Drosophila melanogaster: one gene and its partners. The protein of the gene in region 1 purifies or fractionates together with the protein of each later gene. This does not show direct contact. Each region holds a gene or a part of one and is shown in the gene's direction. Other genes may lie near its edges. The genes, in order: betaTub85D, CG31125, Phb2 and CG32219.

The links.
Region 2: the proteins of betaTub85D (region 1) and CG31125 purify together in Drosophila melanogaster (affinity purification with mass spectrometry, with the first as the bait; one large-scale study listed by BioGRID). This does not show direct contact.
Region 3: the proteins of betaTub85D (region 1) and Phb2 purify together in Drosophila melanogaster (affinity purification with mass spectrometry, with the first as the bait; one large-scale study listed by BioGRID). This does not show direct contact.
Region 4: the proteins of betaTub85D (region 1) and CG32219 purify together in Drosophila melanogaster (affinity purification with mass spectrometry, with the first as the bait; one large-scale study listed by BioGRID). This does not show direct contact.

Annotation. Positions count from the first base shown.
Region 1 is NT_033777.3:9,407,865-9,412,272, reverse strand, and holds betaTub85D (beta-Tubulin at 85D), read left to right. Parts: upstream 1-1,990; 5' UTR 1,991-2,220; coding exon 2,221-2,613; intron 2,614-2,672; coding exon 2,673-3,620; 3' UTR 3,621-3,890; downstream 3,891-4,408. Other genes in the region: Task7 (TWIK-related acid-sensitive K[+] channel 7), read left to right, coding at 256-385, 449-604, 671-732, 787-1,187, 1,243-1,516; CG44261 (uncharacterized protein), read left to right, coding at 4,128-4,408. UniProt on the Drosophila melanogaster protein: Tubulin is the major constituent of microtubules, a cylinder consisting of laterally associated linear protofilaments composed of alpha- and beta-tubulin heterodimers.
Region 2 is NT_033777.3:24,652,871-24,656,852, reverse strand, and holds CG31125 (uncharacterized protein), read left to right. Parts: upstream 1-2,032; 5' UTR 2,033-2,283; coding exon 2,284-3,459; 3' UTR 3,460-3,482; downstream 3,483-3,982. Other genes in the region: CG6695 (uncharacterized protein), read right to left, coding at 1-1,281, 1,373-1,569; ash2 (absent, small, or homeotic discs 2), read right to left, coding at 3,651-3,755, 3,814-3,982.
Region 3 is NT_033778.4:18,817,518-18,822,766, forward strand, and holds Phb2 (prohibitin 2), read left to right. Parts: upstream 1-1,949; 5' UTR 1,950-2,007; exon of another isoform or gene 2,008-2,103; 5' UTR 2,104-2,115; coding exon 2,116-2,248; intron 2,249-2,678; coding exon 2,679-3,025; intron 3,026-3,087; coding exon 3,088-3,321; intron 3,322-3,523; coding exon 3,524-3,601; intron 3,602-3,666; coding exon 3,667-3,766; coding exon of another isoform or gene 3,767-3,774; exon of another isoform or gene 3,775-3,972; coding exon of another isoform or gene 3,973-3,992; exon of another isoform or gene 3,993-4,322; intron 4,323-4,458; coding exon 4,459-4,583; 3' UTR 4,584-4,733; downstream 4,734-5,249.
Region 4 is NT_037436.4:19,949,496-19,952,813, reverse strand, and holds CG32219 (uncharacterized protein), read left to right. Parts: upstream 1-1,678; 5' UTR 1,679-1,741; coding exon 1,742-1,811; intron 1,812-1,877; coding exon 1,878-2,048; intron 2,049-2,098; coding exon 2,099-2,310; 3' UTR 2,311-2,791; downstream 2,792-3,318. Other genes in the region: CG33710 (uncharacterized protein), read left to right, coding at 24-129, 187-357, 423-634; CG34258 (uncharacterized protein), read left to right, coding at 858-960, 1,018-1,188, 1,243-1,466; Ac76E (adenylyl cyclase 76E), read right to left, coding at 3,209-3,318.

The DNA of each region.
Region 1 (4,408 bases):
AGATTAACGGTCAAATCAATAGATAAAAGAAAACTTATTACATATTTAAAGAATGATGAAATTTTTAAAATTCATTGTATCATATGTTATTCGGCCACTGTAACCGAAATCAACCATTTTTGGCGGATGCTGTGTGTTTGTTTTGCTGACAACTATCGATTTTGTCAGACGCAGCATCTTTAACTGAACGAAAAAGGCGCGTGGTGCAAAATATATTAATTGATTATAGATCGTAGTGATTATATTTGAGACTATATGATGAAGCGACAGAATGTCCGTACCCTTTCCCTGGTGGTATGCACTTTCACCTATCTTTTAATTGGAGCCGCCGTGTTCGATTCCCTGGAGTCACCAACGGAGGCCAAAAGATGGGAATTCCTACAGAGTGAGAAGCTTGTTGATTTATTAACCTAATTTCTTAGTAATGAATTTATTTAATCAATTGTAGCCGTTAAGAACAACTTTGTTAGAAAGTACAATGTGACTGACGAGGATTTCCGTGTGATGGAAATCGTCATCATTGAAAATAAGCCCCACAAGGCCGGACCTCAGTGGAAATTCGCTGGAGCTTTCTATTTCAGCACGGTTGTACTGGCAATGATAGGTAAATTAATTATCTATTAAATATGATTTATTGAATAGATTATAATTCTGTTGTAACTTTCTTTAGGATATGGTCATTCTACGCCAGTTACAATTCCGGGAAAAGCATTTTGTATGGGCTATGCTATGGTAAGTGAACTTACAATCCCAATTTCCAGTCTTCTAAAGATATTCCCTTATTAGGTGGGCATCCCGCTGGGTCTGGTGATGTTCCAGTCTATCGGAGAACGTCTGAATAAGTTTGCATCCGTGATAATAAGGCGGGCAAAGAGAGCCAGTGGAGCTCGCTGTACGGATGCCACCGAAATGAATCTCATGTTGGCCACCGGAATGCTCTCCTCCATAATAATCACCACTGGAGCAGCAGTCTTTTCCCGATACGAGGGTTGGAGCTACTTCGATAGCTTCTACTATTGTTTTGTCACCTTGACGACAATTGGTTTCGGCGATTATGTGGCATTGCAGAACGACCAAGCTCTAACTAATAAGCCTGGCTATGTGGCGCTGAGCTTGGTCTTCATCCTATTCGGCTTGGCCGTGGTGGCCGCCAGTATCAATCTATTGGTGCTCCGATTCATGACCATGTGAGTCCATGTTCTATTGCAGGAAATATCTTATTTAATGGATTTTTAATCACAGGCAAGCAGAGGATGCCAAGAGAGATGAGCAGGATGCTCAGAACTTGGCTGGAAATGCCCAGCCGGTGACCTTCGATGATGAGTCCACGTACAATATGCACGGCAAGCTGCTGGAGAACAACTACACAACGGAGAACGATGAGACCGCCTCCCTGTGTTCCTGCACCTGCATGGGTGGCACCAGGTGCCTGAATCATGAGCAGTTCGTGGACCCGGACTTTCAGCCTACCGACATTATCGAGAGCACCTTGTGCCTGAAGCGAGCCTCCGTCTGATATCCGTACAGCCAGCTGTGGGACTCCTCATTGTAGGAGCCAGAGCCAATGGATCACCAAATCGTAGTTACAATCCTGTAGAGAACCATCCGCCGCCAAAATTTGGTTGTTAGACAAACCTTCCTCCCTACGTAGATTTTTAAACCAGGATGGGTCATAATACATATAAGTTTGGAGAGCAAGGTTAATAGTCTTTAAAAGGCAGTTTTTGCTTAAGAAATAATCGACCCATCCCATTATACACCCATATAAACATTTACAAAGGAGTAAAATCCAGGACATCCATGTCAATATCAATCGTATCATCTGGTCGGTAGCCTTGGAATCCTCTATTGCTTCCAAGGCACCGCCAAATCCATCCCATCTCGAATTTTAGCCGTATATTCGTTTATCTATGTAAGTACTATTAAAGTTTGTGCTCAAAACGGAGAACTGAGTTTTCTGAAATCGGGGTGTGTGAAATGTGTCGAAGTCGGAAATCGTAGTAGCCTATTTGTGAACATTCGGTGTAGTAATCCAAGCCAGGTTCAGTTCACCTCAGTATCAGCTAGCACGTACACGACTAAAATCTAAACCTGAAAAATTATACGTTTAAATATTCAGTCTTTTGCCGATTTTTGCCCCACTCAGACTGTTTTAAAAGCTCGATTTTTTTTTGTACCATTTTTTCGGTGTGAAAAAGGGGCCCTAACTTTACTATCAAAATGCGTGAAATTGTACACATTCAGGCCGGTCAATGCGGTAACCAGATCGGTGGTAAATTCTGGGAGGTAATCTCGGATGAGCACTGTATAGATGCGACCGGAACGTACTACGGCGATAGTGATCTCCAGCTGGAGCGCATCAATGTATACTACAATGAAGCCACCGGTGCCAAGTATGTGCCACGCGCAATTCTCGTGGACCTGGAGCCCGGCACCATGGATTCGGTTCGTTCTGGCGCCTTTGGCCAGATCTTCCGGCCGGACAATTTTGTGTTTGGCCAATCGGGAGCAGGCAACAACTGGGCCAAGGGTCATTACACCGAGGGTGCTGAACTGGTGGATTCCGTCTTGGATGTGGTGCGAAAGGAGTCCGAGGGATGCGATTGCCTTCAGGTAAGTTTTGGGGGTTTGGGAATTTATCTGAAAAAGTTTACCCTACTTTTCTCCAACAGGGCTTCCAGCTGACCCACTCGCTGGGTGGCGGCACTGGCTCCGGCATGGGAACCCTGCTGATCTCGAAGATCCGCGAGGAGTACCCGGACCGCATCATGAACACCTTCTCGGTGGTGCCCTCGCCCAAGGTGTCCGATACGGTGGTGGAGCCCTACAATGCCACCCTGAGTGTGCATCAGCTGGTGGAGAACACCGATGAGACGTACTGCATCGACAACGAGGCGTTGTATGACATCTGCTTCCGCACACTGAAGCTGACCACGCCCACCTACGGTGACCTGAACCATCTGGTTTCGGCCACCATGTCTGGTGTGACGACCTGCCTGCGCTTCCCTGGCCAGCTGAACGCTGATCTTCGCAAGCTGGCCGTGAACATGGTACCCTTCCCCCGGCTGCACTTCTTCATGCCCGGATTCGCACCGCTCACCTCGCGAGGATCGCAACAATACCGGGCCCTTACCGTTCCGGAGCTGACCCAGCAGATGTTCGATGCCAAGAACATGATGGCTGCGTGCGATCCGCGACATGGTCGCTATCTGACCGTCGCCGCCATCTTCCGTGGCCGCATGTCCATGAAGGAGGTGGACGAGCAGATGCTCAACATTCAGAACAAGAACAGCAGCTTCTTCGTGGAATGGATCCCGAATAACTGCAAGACAGCGGTGTGCGATATTCCGCCCAGAGGTCTCAAGATGTCGGCCACCTTCATTGGCAACTCCACCGCCATTCAGGAGCTATTCAAACGGGTTTCGGAGCAGTTCACCGCCATGTTCCGAAGGAAGGCCTTCTTGCATTGGTACACCGGCGAGGGAATGGACGAAATGGAATTCACAGAGGCCGAGAGCAACATGAACGACTTGGTTTCTGAATATCAGCAGTACCAGGAGGCGACTGCCGATGAGGAGGGCGAATTCGATGAAGACGAAGAGGGTGGCGGCGATGAATAATAGGATTAACTTCCCACTCAAGATCACACATGAACACCAAAACAGGCTAGCAGGGGAACCCATTAGGAAGGCACAACACATTGGATCTTTGGGCCTTAGCATATTGTGCTTCGAGGCCCGTCGGTTGTACATATTTCCTATATGGATTCTTCACTGTTCGATTATTTATCATTCACACACGTACAGAAGAAATATGTCCACCTTTGTTAAGCTCATGTTGCAATTGCTGTGATTTCTGGGTTACGAATAAATGTTGATTTATAAGCAGACAAGATTACCAACAGCATTTTGCATATTTTTATACCGTTCAAAAGGCATTGCATAAACCTAAACATTAATATATAAATATTCTGGATTGAATTGAATTTGAGGCTAAGCGCTCAATATCGAAAATCTATATTTTGTTGGCAATCATTTTTTAGAGTTGCCTTACGAAAGTGACAGCTTTCCTTTCTGACAGGCCGTCATCATTCAAGTCATTCAAGTCATTGAAGTCAAGGCACCAAGATGTATTTTCCGACTACTCCAGTTACCTCTCGCAGTGGCTATCTGCGCGGCCGAAAGCGCATAAATCCGCATCCCATATCGCAACTGCAGAGTGGAAAACCGACGTCGGAAGACGACCAGGATAGCACAAATGTTGATCTAGAAGAATCAATCAGCTCAAGCTACTCATCGGAGACGGACATCTCGATGAACGTGGAGGCGCAGGACACCAGCACGGATAGTGGTCTGGACACTAGCCAGGAGAGCAGCAACGAACCGCGCTACTCCCTTCGAAAGATGGA
Region 2 (3,982 bases), about 15 Mb from region 1:
GATCGACTGCGGGATCTGGATCTGGATCTTGACAGCGAACGGGATCTTGATCTCGACCTGGATCTTGATCTAGAGTAGTACCTTCGTCGGCGACGTGAACGCGTCCTGCTCCTTCTGTGATAGCTTCTACTGCGGCGACTTCTACGACGACTGCCACTCCGACGACTACCACTCCGACTCCTTGAGACTGTGGCACTCCTAGAACGAGAGCGGGAGTGCGAGCGGGATCGACGTCTGTTGCGCTTGGACGACTCATTCATCACTTTCAACTTGTCCAGATTATCTTTCACCTTTTGAGCATAGGAAACCGAAGATGCTGCGGCGGCGGCAATCGCCGCTCCGCTACTGGCATTGATGCACGATTCACCCAGGGTCAGACCAGGCTTCGTCAGGCTGATGGTGATCTTGGAGTGCGGCTGCATTTCGTCCTCGCCCCCAAACGAGGTAATGTAGGTTATCTTCTCGGGACCTGCTTCCGCGGGCGACGGCGAACGCGATTCGCTGTCCTCCTCCTTTTCTTTCTCACCGCCCTTACCACCACCTTTTTTGTCCTTATCCTCCTTGGCAGCATAGCTTGGCGGACTGAATGGTCTATTGGCGATCCTTCTCTCCTTTTGCGCCCGACGCTCGCGTCTTGACTTGCGCCCGCTCAGCAGCATCTTCTCCTGCTCCTCCTCGCGCGCAATGCGCAGGGCATCCGCCTCGTCAGCATCCTTAGTGAGGTGTGAGAAGAAGTCGTTGCTTTTCATGCCGTAGTTGCGCCCGCAGGCGTTAAGCTCATGGGCTTGCGAGGTGTCCAGCTTGCCGATGTCTATCGACACATCCATATCGATGTCAGAATCCGATTCTTCACTGCCATCCCCCTTTTCACCCTTCGCAACAGCTGCCGCTCCACCAATGACAGTTGAACTGGCGGCTCCAAAAGGCTGAGGTCCAATAGTCGCTCCATCGCCGGTATCTTCGTAGGAGTAGCCAATTGTGGCTCCTCCCGTCTTCTGCTTCTTTTTGGCCAGATTCCGTTCCGCCTCCAGTTGGGCATTGGCCCCAAACTGTTCCTCCAGGTAGAGTTGGTGCAGAAACTTATCCTCGCTGACGTTGAGGAAGTCATTTTGCGCCAGGATGCGATAGCGCTCGTAGTTTAGCTGACGCTCCTCGAGGGTCAGTTCGGAGTCACCATCCGCCCCCTCGGCGTTGGTCTTGTTCACGGGAGGAATGTGATCCAAATGGGCGCGTACATCGAAGCGGTCGATGAGGTTGTCCTGCTGACCCTGCCAAGGCACACTGCAAAAAGTATCCATTACTTAGCAAAACAAAAACATCGCCACGCAACTAGAAAGTAGAGGGTTTTATGCTCTAAATGAATATCACTTGCATGATTGCGGCTCCATCGCCGGCGGCGGCCACCGCGGGATCCAAGTAGATCTTGCTTCGCCGGCCATGCAGTTGCAGAAACTGGGTGGGATCTGCCTGAATTTTGTCGTAGAAGTACTGCCGCCGCTCCGCCCTCTTGCGGTAATCGACGATCAGGCCACGGATCTTGCGCTCCTGTTTCCTCGCCTCGTGCCACATCCCGTACTTGTGTTGCCTGCGATCGCCGGCTGGCAAATGACTTGGCTTCACCCGAAAAAGGACATCAGCACGCCCGGCAAAAATATGACCCTACACCAGCTAAAACCGACGATATACAGTATGACCGTATGGTTAAAACTCGACCTAGTGGTGGGAGATGCAGCGACGTAACAACGATACAATATACACTAAAACATCGATACATTGATGGATGACAGACAGGCAGCAATTTTGCGGGATATTTGAAAAATTACTAGTATTTAAACCGATTATCGCTGTGGAGTATTTCCTTATGCCCAATCATAACCTTAAGATTTGTAATTTACAAAGTTTTGATTAAAATAAGAGTTCAATAGAGTTATTGTCCCTTTAAAAGCTAAGCTCAAAAAGAATACCCTCTATGATCGATTTTCTGAACCACTTTGAACCAGCGAACGTTATTTCTGGTCGACACTGGCAACGCCGTGGAGCCTGCGCCCTTTTGTCGAAACAACAAAAGGACAATAAATAACAAGCTAAACTGGAATGGGCCACAACACAACAATTGACGCTCGCCGCCTTTTGCGGCATCGATTTTGAAGGGGAACACATCCACAGGCACAGCTACATAAATCGAAAGGACACCCACGGGGATTTGCGAGTGCAAGGATCAAGGAGCAGGGAAGGGAAAGCGAAGGCAGAACGAGTCCAGCTCGTTTTTCTGGAGCAGTTTTGATGTCCTCAGACAGACGCTACTATTTCGGAGCGGATTTGGAGGACAATGAGGGTGCCATCTGCAAGGCCAACGACAACAACAACGAACAGGAAGCGGATAAGGACGATCCGGATGAATCGGAGTTCCTGCAGGATGTGCCCTACTCCTCTAGCAGCATTGACCGCAGCTCGGTGGGCTCCATTCCGTGGGCGGACGATGCCATCAAGAAGAACCTGCTGGACTGGGAGCGGGTGGAGCGGCTGATGAGCGGCGAGGATCCCTTGACGGAGCTTCAGGAGCCCGAGTTGCGCAACGAGATCGCCGACTGGCACCGAAAGTTCCCTAGCCTGCTGGGCCGCCGGACTCGAACGCTGCGCCACCACAGCTTCGATAGTCAGACGCGGGAGGATATTGACTCGATTTCAAATCTTAGTCTGAACTCCCTGGACGACGACGATGATGACGAGGAGGCGGAGGATGGATTTCTGACACCCAAGGCAGAAGAACCAGAACAGCCTCATCACCACTCCTATTTACGGCACAGCCAGAAGAAGCTGGTGGATCTACTGGACAGGGATCTGCGGGTTACCTCCGTTTCGGTTAGACTCCTCAAACGACAGCGCAGCCAGCAGAACCAGCCCCAGCTGCCCATCTCAGCCACCACCCAATCCTCGGCACGCCTGCGCATGCCGCCCATTCTCAATGTGCTCGATACCAACCGGCGCTTTCGGGGATTGCTCAACAACCGCAGCTTCGTTCAGCTCACCCAGGTGCAGCAGAAGGAGCAGCTGCAGCATCAGAACCAGGCCAAGTCCGCCGTGTTGCCACATCAAAGTCATCGATCGTCCGCCTGGCACATGCCCATGGCCGCCAATCGCTTTTTTAACAACAGGAACGCGGTAGTCCTGCCCTCGCTTAATCTGGGCAGGCACAGCAGGGATTTGCTGGCCACCACCACGGCCACTTCGAGCCAAACCAACTCCAGCGGCGGGGGCGGACACAACAGCCATGGCCACAGCAACAGTTCCTCCAACCGCTCCACACTGCATCCATTTGGGGCGACCAGCGTTTCCAGCAACACACCATCCACGGGACGATCTATCTCGGCGGCAGTTCATCATCCGCGAACCGAATTTGCGCCCAGCAGCGCCTTCTACATACCCTACAGTGCCTCGAAATTCAAAGCCTTCAAGTAACCTCAAACAATAAAACTGATCTCAAAAGAGTGTTTTCTTAAAATTCTTCTGCTTTAAAAGTGGTAAATTTTAAATGTTTTAGGTATGATAGTATGATGATAGTCTTTTCAAATTTCTGCTTTCCAAAGTATAGTGCATACAAAAATAACACACTAGTTCTCCAAAACTCATGTGTATGACGACATATCCCACTAAAGACCCATATTATCCAAGCGCAGACGTCCATCGTGTTCTGTGAGGTAGAGGGTGTCGGCTAAACATTGCTCTGTGATCAGCTCCTCCACGCGATCGTGCATCTGTAGGGGATTGTATAATAGATGTTAAGCTTCCTGGGAACAAACCGAGATATATTACCCCCTTGGCTTTGTGCTCGACGAGCACCTCGGGATACTTGAAGGCGGGTCCGAAGTTTACGCTGACCGTTGCACTTTTGTGGATCGAGATGGCCGGGAAATAGCTGCCGGCATAAATGTCTTCGAATGCCACACCCTGCGATTGACCGTTCTTAAAGAACTCGATGCGG
Region 3 (5,249 bases), on another chromosome or scaffold:
GGATTACAGATTCGTACTATACTATATAGACTTTCAGTCTGCATCTGATTGCACAAGTTTGCCGCCGGACTGGTGATGAATGATGCCCGGGTTCTTAATATGCAAAACGTGCTGTTTGGCTTGAACTTGGCCAACATGTCGACTTTAGTTCCTCAATACGAAACTAAAGGCTTACACCCCCTCAAATTCAAGTTCAAGTGCCTGTCGTTCAATGGAAAACGAACGAACTGCCGCCAAATTGGCAAGCTTTGTTGGCCCCGTCAGTGAGCACATAATCACATAACTAAGCTAAGTACGACCTATTCGATGTTGGCCATACTAAAGTCGACCGATCGCAATTGGCCGTTCGAGCGGCCCGTTGCGCATGTTAATTGCGGGCCAATAGCCGATTTTGGCTCAGATGACATTGACTAGGGTACTTCCACCCATTTCCATTGTAGCCCACTCTAGAACTTGGGTATTCCGATGGTGAGTTTCTGCGGTCTTTCAACCGAACTCATCAGGAATTAAGTGCACACGAAGAAATTATGACGTATTCCGCATATTTGATTAATTATCAACAAATTTATAATGATTATTCAGTGCAATAGTCAAATTTATAGCATCTTTCACTTGATTTTTTCTTTTAAGAATTCCGCATAACTTAAATATTTTTTTTCAGTGCTGTGAAGCTTAAAACGTAGATTTCCTTGGGGAATTCTGGAAGTGCGAATACGAACGTCATCGTCAGATATATTTTTATGCAAACTTTGCACTTCGAATGCCAAATGAACCCAATCGAATTGGGTTGTCTTAGGTTCGCAGTTTAATTTTCGACGTCAGATCGAAATTTAGCAGCCATTAGGAGCCACCTGTTAGCATCTTAACGTGATGTGATCAAAAGAAAGGTGGCAGGTGCGTCAGTTGACCACCCGAAATTTTGGCTTTTAGCGCGGCTAATTCGAGGAATTTTCCTCGCCGCTTGATGGGGGAGGCAAAACGACATCCATCTAATCTAATCGATGCTGTCCCTAAATTAATTACGAGTCCATCAGTGGCTAATTTGCGACAAGCGCCATAAAGCAATAAGGCCCAATCAGGGGGGGGACTAAACCATAAATACTAATCTATAAACACTGCGCAGAGGGTAAATCCTCAAATCAGATTGTCAAAACATGACGAAAACAGAGGCCACCTTTTGATAAGGGGCACAGATAATTTCTCCGGCCGATTTAAATTCCTTTCCGCTCCAGCACACTGGAGCTATTCGCTTGAAATTGTAATTGTCACAAATTTACAAAAAAAAAAAAAAAAAACACAACATGTGAGTTTAAGTGCTGCAACAAAAACAAAAAGCCTCAGGCATCAGGTTTCATCATCTATTTATAACTTTTGGCTACAGCGTTAGGTGATTAGTGGTAACGCACCATGAGTTATTTTTTTTTGCCATATCTTTTTTATGTTTATTTTAATTTACTTTTACGGTTATGTAAATATGTTTAATTTTAAAGCTAACTAGCACATATATTCATTATTATATTATAATATATATTTTTTTCTTTTACTTTCGTATAACTGATTTGGGTAAAGATTTGAAATTTTAAACCAAGCCGTTATCAATACGCCTAAAATCGCGATCAAGCCGCACAGAAATCGCACTCAAAACGCGCCAAACGTGAAAAACGCGCCGTATGAAATCGCGTGCAAGCCGCAATACTCATTTATCAAAACCAACGATCAAACCTTATTCTATACAAACAAACATGTGCGCAATTCGTTCGAAAATTCGTTTTCTAATTTATTAAAGAAATTGCTGAAATACTACTATACAAATGAATGGAGTAATACACTTAACTAACTCGGAAAGTTTTTTATTAAAAATTAAAATACAAATAGTTGTTAGCAAGCACACAAACCGATAATAGCAAAAATATTACATTTTTGTATCGATTTAAATAACGAATGATTATGTGACAACGTCACATACGGTCACACCGAACCAAACGTGCGTGAGAGTTTCCCAATTTTGTACGTGGAAAAATCATACGTTTATTATCACAAAATCTATACAGAGTGCTTTGCGTTTACCGACATTTAATATATTTTTTAAATTCCTCGTCGCAGAAGACAAACAAGATGGCACAGAGCAAATTGAACGATCTTGCCGGCAAGCTGGGCAAAGGTGGTCCGCCGGGATTGGGAATCGGACTGAAGGTCCTGGCCGCCGTGGGAGCAGCCGCCTATGGAGTCAGTCAGTCCCTGTACACCGGTAAGGATAAAGCCGATAGGATAAAGCCACCGATTTGAGGGATAAAACCATAAACACGGGCAATAGCGGCATGTGCACATAACCTCAAATGATTACAGAGTGCATAGAGATGTTGCTTTGTGTGTGTGTGTTTCTGCTGTTTCCCGGATTTCATAACTTCCAATATGATTTGCAATATTCTTATTAGACTCTATCTAATAAGATGCATGTGAGGAACATGCATTAACTTATCAGTTATCCTCACTTTAATTACTTGTTATTGTTGGCCAGTCCCACATTTCATCTTCCCATGATTGCATAACAAACTCCATTATATTTGTGTTTACTTTCGGGTCTTAAGTCCAAAGTAATTACATATAAGTTATATATTTAACTATTTACTATACTATGTATGCAAACCCACTCACTTGATTAATTCTCCTTTCAACAGTTGAGGGTGGTCACCGCGCCATCATCTTCAGCCGTCTGGGCGGCATCCAGAGCGACATTTACTCCGAGGGACTGCACGTGCGCATCCCCTGGTTCCAGTATCCCATTATCTATGACATTCGCTCGCGTCCCCGCAAAATATCCTCGCCCACTGGCTCCAAGGATCTGCAGATGATCAACATCTCGCTGCGTGTGCTGTCGCGCCCCGATTCCCTGAACCTGCCCTATCTGCACAAGCAGCTGGGCGTGGACTACGACGAGAAGGTGCTGCCCTCCATTTGCAACGAGGTGCTGAAGAGCGTGATTGCCAAGTTCAATGCCTCGCAGCTTATTACCCAGCGTCAGCAGGTAGAAATCTTCATACTAACCATGGTTAATTCAGTTTGTATATAGTAGTTGTCTGTTACTAGGTATCCCTACTCATCCGCAAGGAGCTGGTCGAGCGCGCCCGCGACTTCAACATCATTCTGGACGATGTGTCCCTCACCGAGCTGAGCTTCGGCAAGGAATACACGGCGGCCATTGAGGCCAAACAAGTGGCTCAGCAGGAGGCACAGCGGGCTGTCTTCTTTGTGGAGCGCGCCAAGCAGGAGAAGCAGCAGAAGATTGTTCAGGCTGAGGGAGAAGCCGAGGCTGCTAAAATGATATCCTTTTACAAAACACTAACTAGAACATTTTTTCCCTTTTACATCTGACTAAAAGGCTGTTAGTATGTTGTGAGCTGGAAAAACTGTATTGTTTTTCTGTGTTCATCGTTTATTTTTGGCCTTCTTGAAATATGTAAATAGGGATTATGCTTACCCAATTTATTGCCACCTACTGGTTCTTCTTAACTGATATGTTTACTTAGGTCTGGCCGTGAAGCAGAACCCAGCCTACCTGAAGCTGCGCAAGCTGCGTGCCGCTCAAAGCATTGCACGCACGGTATGATTAATCTTTTAAATCTCTTCTGATTTAAAATTAATGAAATGCTTTTCCCCTATCAACAGATTGCCAGCTCACAGAACAAGGTCTATTTGTCGGCGGATAGCTTGATGCTTAACATCCAGGACTCTGGCTTCGATGACATGACCGAGAAGGTTTACAAAAGTAAATAGCTCTCGTTTTGATTAACAAAAAGAGTTTACTTTTAAGTTGAAAACACTTGTACTTTTGGTTTCAATCACATTGGCCAAAACTTAGACATAGCCTTCATAATTGAGTAATTTCTAACGCGTTTTCCGTACTCCATCTCTCTTCCTATTTGCCGCACAAAATTTCGTTCTGTTAACGTTTCACCCGATCGCGCAACCCAGTAGCCGATGACCTGGACTAGGAGGCGATCCACATTCGTTGTTAATTAATTTTTATTGAAATTCCTTCGAGCTAGAGCCTAAGTACCGTTTAGTTTTAACCACTCCCAAGCGGCGCATTGGCTTCATTTTTTCACGAATTATCTGCCAAGTGCTAAGTCCTTGTCACCCGGAGGCAGCTTCATCCCACATCCGTTCACTGGGTGCCAAGGATTGAAACACGGCCAGGCATTTTGTGGACCAATGATACCAATGCGGGCAAATGGCCGCATCAGCATTTAACTTTCCATGTCCCATCATCGAGAGTCACGTGAAACGGAAACTGAAAATAAATGCGTACTGAGAACTGTCTGAAGATCGTTGTGTCCCCCTTTATAGATTGCAACTGATTTCAGCTTCAACTGCCGGGGCACACCACTCGTGAAAAAACGAAGCGGCGTCCCCGTGCAGCGATCCCTCCACTAATCCCAATCCACCCAATCATTGCAGTTGGCACCGGTCTGCCCAAGGACTGGTTGGACGCGCGGAAAATGGCCTCGAAGGTCGCCCAGCCGGCGGAGAAGGAGAAGAACGTGGGCAACGTGGCGAGCAGCATGGCCGAGCGGATGATGTGATCCACACCTTAGCGGGGGCTTCCTGTCAAGATCCTAGTACAAAGCGCATACAGAACAGAGCCAAACAGAACGCCGACTTCGTCGCATACGATTACGAAACATTTACTTATCGTTTTAATTGCGTGTATAAAATACATAAGAATAGTACATAAGAGTGTATACAGTATATAATTTAAGTGTATAGAGGTTTATGTATGTAAATTGTAGGCAGATTAGGTTGCTTCTCCAGGAGTTGTGTCCCCGCGGCATTCCCATGTTGTGTGTGTGTGAGAGATCTTGACTAGAAACATGTGTGTGTGTTATGGGCATGCATTCACTGCGATGTTCATCCTTGATGTTGAGCAATCGAACCACCGCCCGGGGTCTCCAAGTCATATAAATATTCTTAAGTCTATCCATAACGAACTCGAACAATCAAATTCCTGCATTAGGCGCGTGGGGTTAGCTTTGTATGTGAGTTAATTTGTAATTGTTAGGTGGCTTAGAAGCGACGCGACATGGACCAGGATCAGGCCGTCGCCGGTGGCTTTCCTCCTCCGGATCCGCTGGCCCCGCTGGTACTTCCGCTCTCGCTGCCACTGCTGCTGGCATTGCTGTTGGCCCTGCGGCTCTCGGCCAGACCGGGTGTGTCCCTCCGATGACGACGCAGCGTGGAGCTAGCCGATG
Region 4 (3,318 bases), on another chromosome or scaffold:
CCAAAAATAATAATAAAAAAAAAATGAAATTTGCATTGGTAATACTTTACACCATCTCTTTTGTTTGCGAAGGTGCTATTTCAGTAAATTCCACATTTGAAAAGGGCATTCGAAAGTTCTACAATACGGGTAATTGTAAACCAAAGTTAAATTTTGATTTGAGTTTTGAATTTTTATTCTGACCAGCTGACCATAGCCAAGGTTTTCCCATTTGTGGAAATTGTACAAACATAAAAAACGTGCATATAAGTACAGGATTTACGTGCCACTTCGAAGATGAAAGACAGGTGGAAAATAAGTTTGGCGAGACAGATGATAAATATGCGCCTTGTGTGCCAAAGGATTACGTTATCAATGGTTCGTTCAAGAGTTGTATAAGTTAGATATATGTAGGTCCAAACATTCCAAATTCCCAATAATAGGGGAAGTTAAAAACTATTGCTGCTTTTGGTCGCCGACATCGGGATGTTCAGCTCTCATCGGAAGGCTTCTGTTCGATAAAAGCTCCGATTATTGCGATACTTGCAAAGGATCTTGTTCCGGATTGAAATATTCCGACGACTCAGTCGGAAGCAATAGGATTCCGGAATATGGATTCATAATGGCACTGTTGTTTTGTGAACTGTGGATTTGATAGGATAGGGATCACTACAATCATACTCAAATATTGTGCCAAAAAAGAACTTAAAAATAAATCAATTTCTTTTAGTAATTTGGAAACCAAAAAATCGCTTCAAATCATACTAATATGAATTTAAAAAATTGCCAAGCATGTTAGGCGAAGATCAAATTGTCAAATGAACGGAAACAGACATTTTTTTTAAATAATTGACTCTGTTTATTATATAAATTATGAAATGAAATTTTTTGTATTGCTAGTTTACATTTGCTTGGCTCTCAAGTGCGGGCACCCGATAAACCTAAAAAATTACTATACTTCCACAACGCCTTTCTCTTCAGGTAAATTACCTAATAAAATTTTATGGAATTTAAATCTATTTCTATTTGGTTGCATAGCCGATCATGAAATTTCATTTCCGGCTTGCGCAAATTGTTCAAGTGAAAAGAACTTTCGTACCAACACTGATTTTCATTGCCACTTCGAAGATGACTCGGCCATTGAGGAAAATTTTGGAAAATGGACAAATAGTTATCCGGACTGCCTGCCAGACCACTTTATTGCAACTCGTGAGTCCTTCACAAATTGGCCAGGTCAAATGTATTACCACTATCGTCTAATAGGGAAAATAAAAGCGTATTGCTGCTTTTGGTCACCGAAATTGGGATGCTCTGCGCTGATCGGAAGGAAGTTCTACGATAAGAAAATATATAGCTGCAAGACTTGCAGACGATTTTGCAGCGCAACTAAGCAAACCTATGTCGATGATTCGGATGGAAGTGATAAGGTCTCGGAATCCTACGGATTCTCAGTTTTATTGGCCTTTCTGCTACTCAGCATATACTAGGATAATCTATAATTGCACAGTAGAATGGGATGGCCATTTTTATATAATTTATATTTTTGGACCCATCAAATTAACCATAACAAACAGCAAATAAAAGGGTATCTTTTTAATTCGATGATGTGTTTTAATGAGTATGCGTTAGTTTGATGAGCTAGTTAGGTCGATAAGATTAAATAAAGCTATTTTCAAATCAAAATCTATTTTTTAACCAAGTTCACAATGACAAAGCTCTCAAAATATTAAGTACACTTTCCTTTAAAATCGCTTTTATAAGAATGCTAATACAGGTTTTAGTGTTTTTTTTACTTTATCGAAATACTTACGAAGATTGTAATCATAATCATTGTAAGTAACCTCGTTATTAGCAAGGTATTAATAATTTTATTACACTTTTTTTTATTGATTTTAAAGCGGCTGTCGAAGATCATTACGATTGTGGATGTTGTCCGGGCATAAGTAACAACAATGGCCAGGTGGTTGGGTTCCATTGCCATAAAGATGACCAAAACTCAATTTTAAGATTTGCATCGGATGAGGAAAGTGCGTTTGCTGAATGTGTGCCAAACTGTTTTGAGATAAAATGTAAGTCACTTTTGCCTTGCCACTCATTTAATCGGCATTTATCACTACAGATCCCATTCAGGAATACTGCTGTTTCTGGTCACCGAAGCTGGGCTGTACGATACTAGTCAATGAAAAGTATTTCAGCAATAAAGACTTGTGCAATAACTGCAAGTATTTTTGCCAAAGAACTACAGGAGATGGGAGGAGCTCTAGTTATCCACAGAAACTTATCTTGCTACTCTCATTACTGCTGATCGGTTGCAATTACTTTCAGAACTAAAGTTCATAATTGACCTGCTTCTTCAATAAAGAGAGTTACTTTGCATTAATCCTAGGACCTACTCAACCCCCGTCAAAAGACCCGGATGAGTTAATCAAAAATTAATAGTGAAAGTAACTCTTTGGTCATCATTATCATAGTTATCATTATGAACTGTGCCCAGGCCGGGGTAAATTTAATTAAAACAACAAACGCGCGATGTTCCAAAGAAAGCAGCCGTCGCTGGAAATTGTACGTGGAAACGGAAGTGGAAATGGGGAGACCCCGATGTTATCGTGACAAGCCCAAATTAAGTAGCGCACGGGGTTACATCAGCCAGCCAGGGGACAAAACCGGCGGGTTGGGCACTCAATTTAAAGACCAAACCAAGGCAACCAGCGAATATGGCCATGAGTTGGCCAGAAGATGAATGGCAACCGAGCCGGAGGCTCATTTCATAGACCAACACCCAAAACGAAAATTTAAATACATTCTACACCCGGTAAGTTGGACACATAAGAAAGTTGAGTTACTATACGTTTCGAAGCCAAAATCCAGGCAATGTATGTTCAAAACAGAAATCCTCTTGTAGAGGATGATGATTCTTGATTTAAAAATGCATAGGTAATGCCGTAAATATTTGTATATATTTACTACAAATAAAACGGAAAACAAGAAAATAATTGTAGTAAATACGAATTTTAGTTTTCGACAGTTCCAATGGCAAAACTAAACTGGTGTATAACGAATTGAAGCGTTTTATGCTTATATTCAACAGGGTTTTAGTAGTATTTTAGATAACCTAGTTCTTATTTAAGCTCCACCGTCTACAAAGAATACAAAATGCTGCCTTTTGTGAAATTAATTTGATTTGAAGCAGCTTTTCCATTCAGGGATTAAGGAGGATTTTCACACTCACCCGTGGTTCCATTTTCCTGCTCGCTCAAATCGGCCAAAGATGCCGAAAGGGCGTCATTCATCCTGGCCGCCGATGACGTCATCGCCTTCGGCTGCGTTGCATTTCCGTCG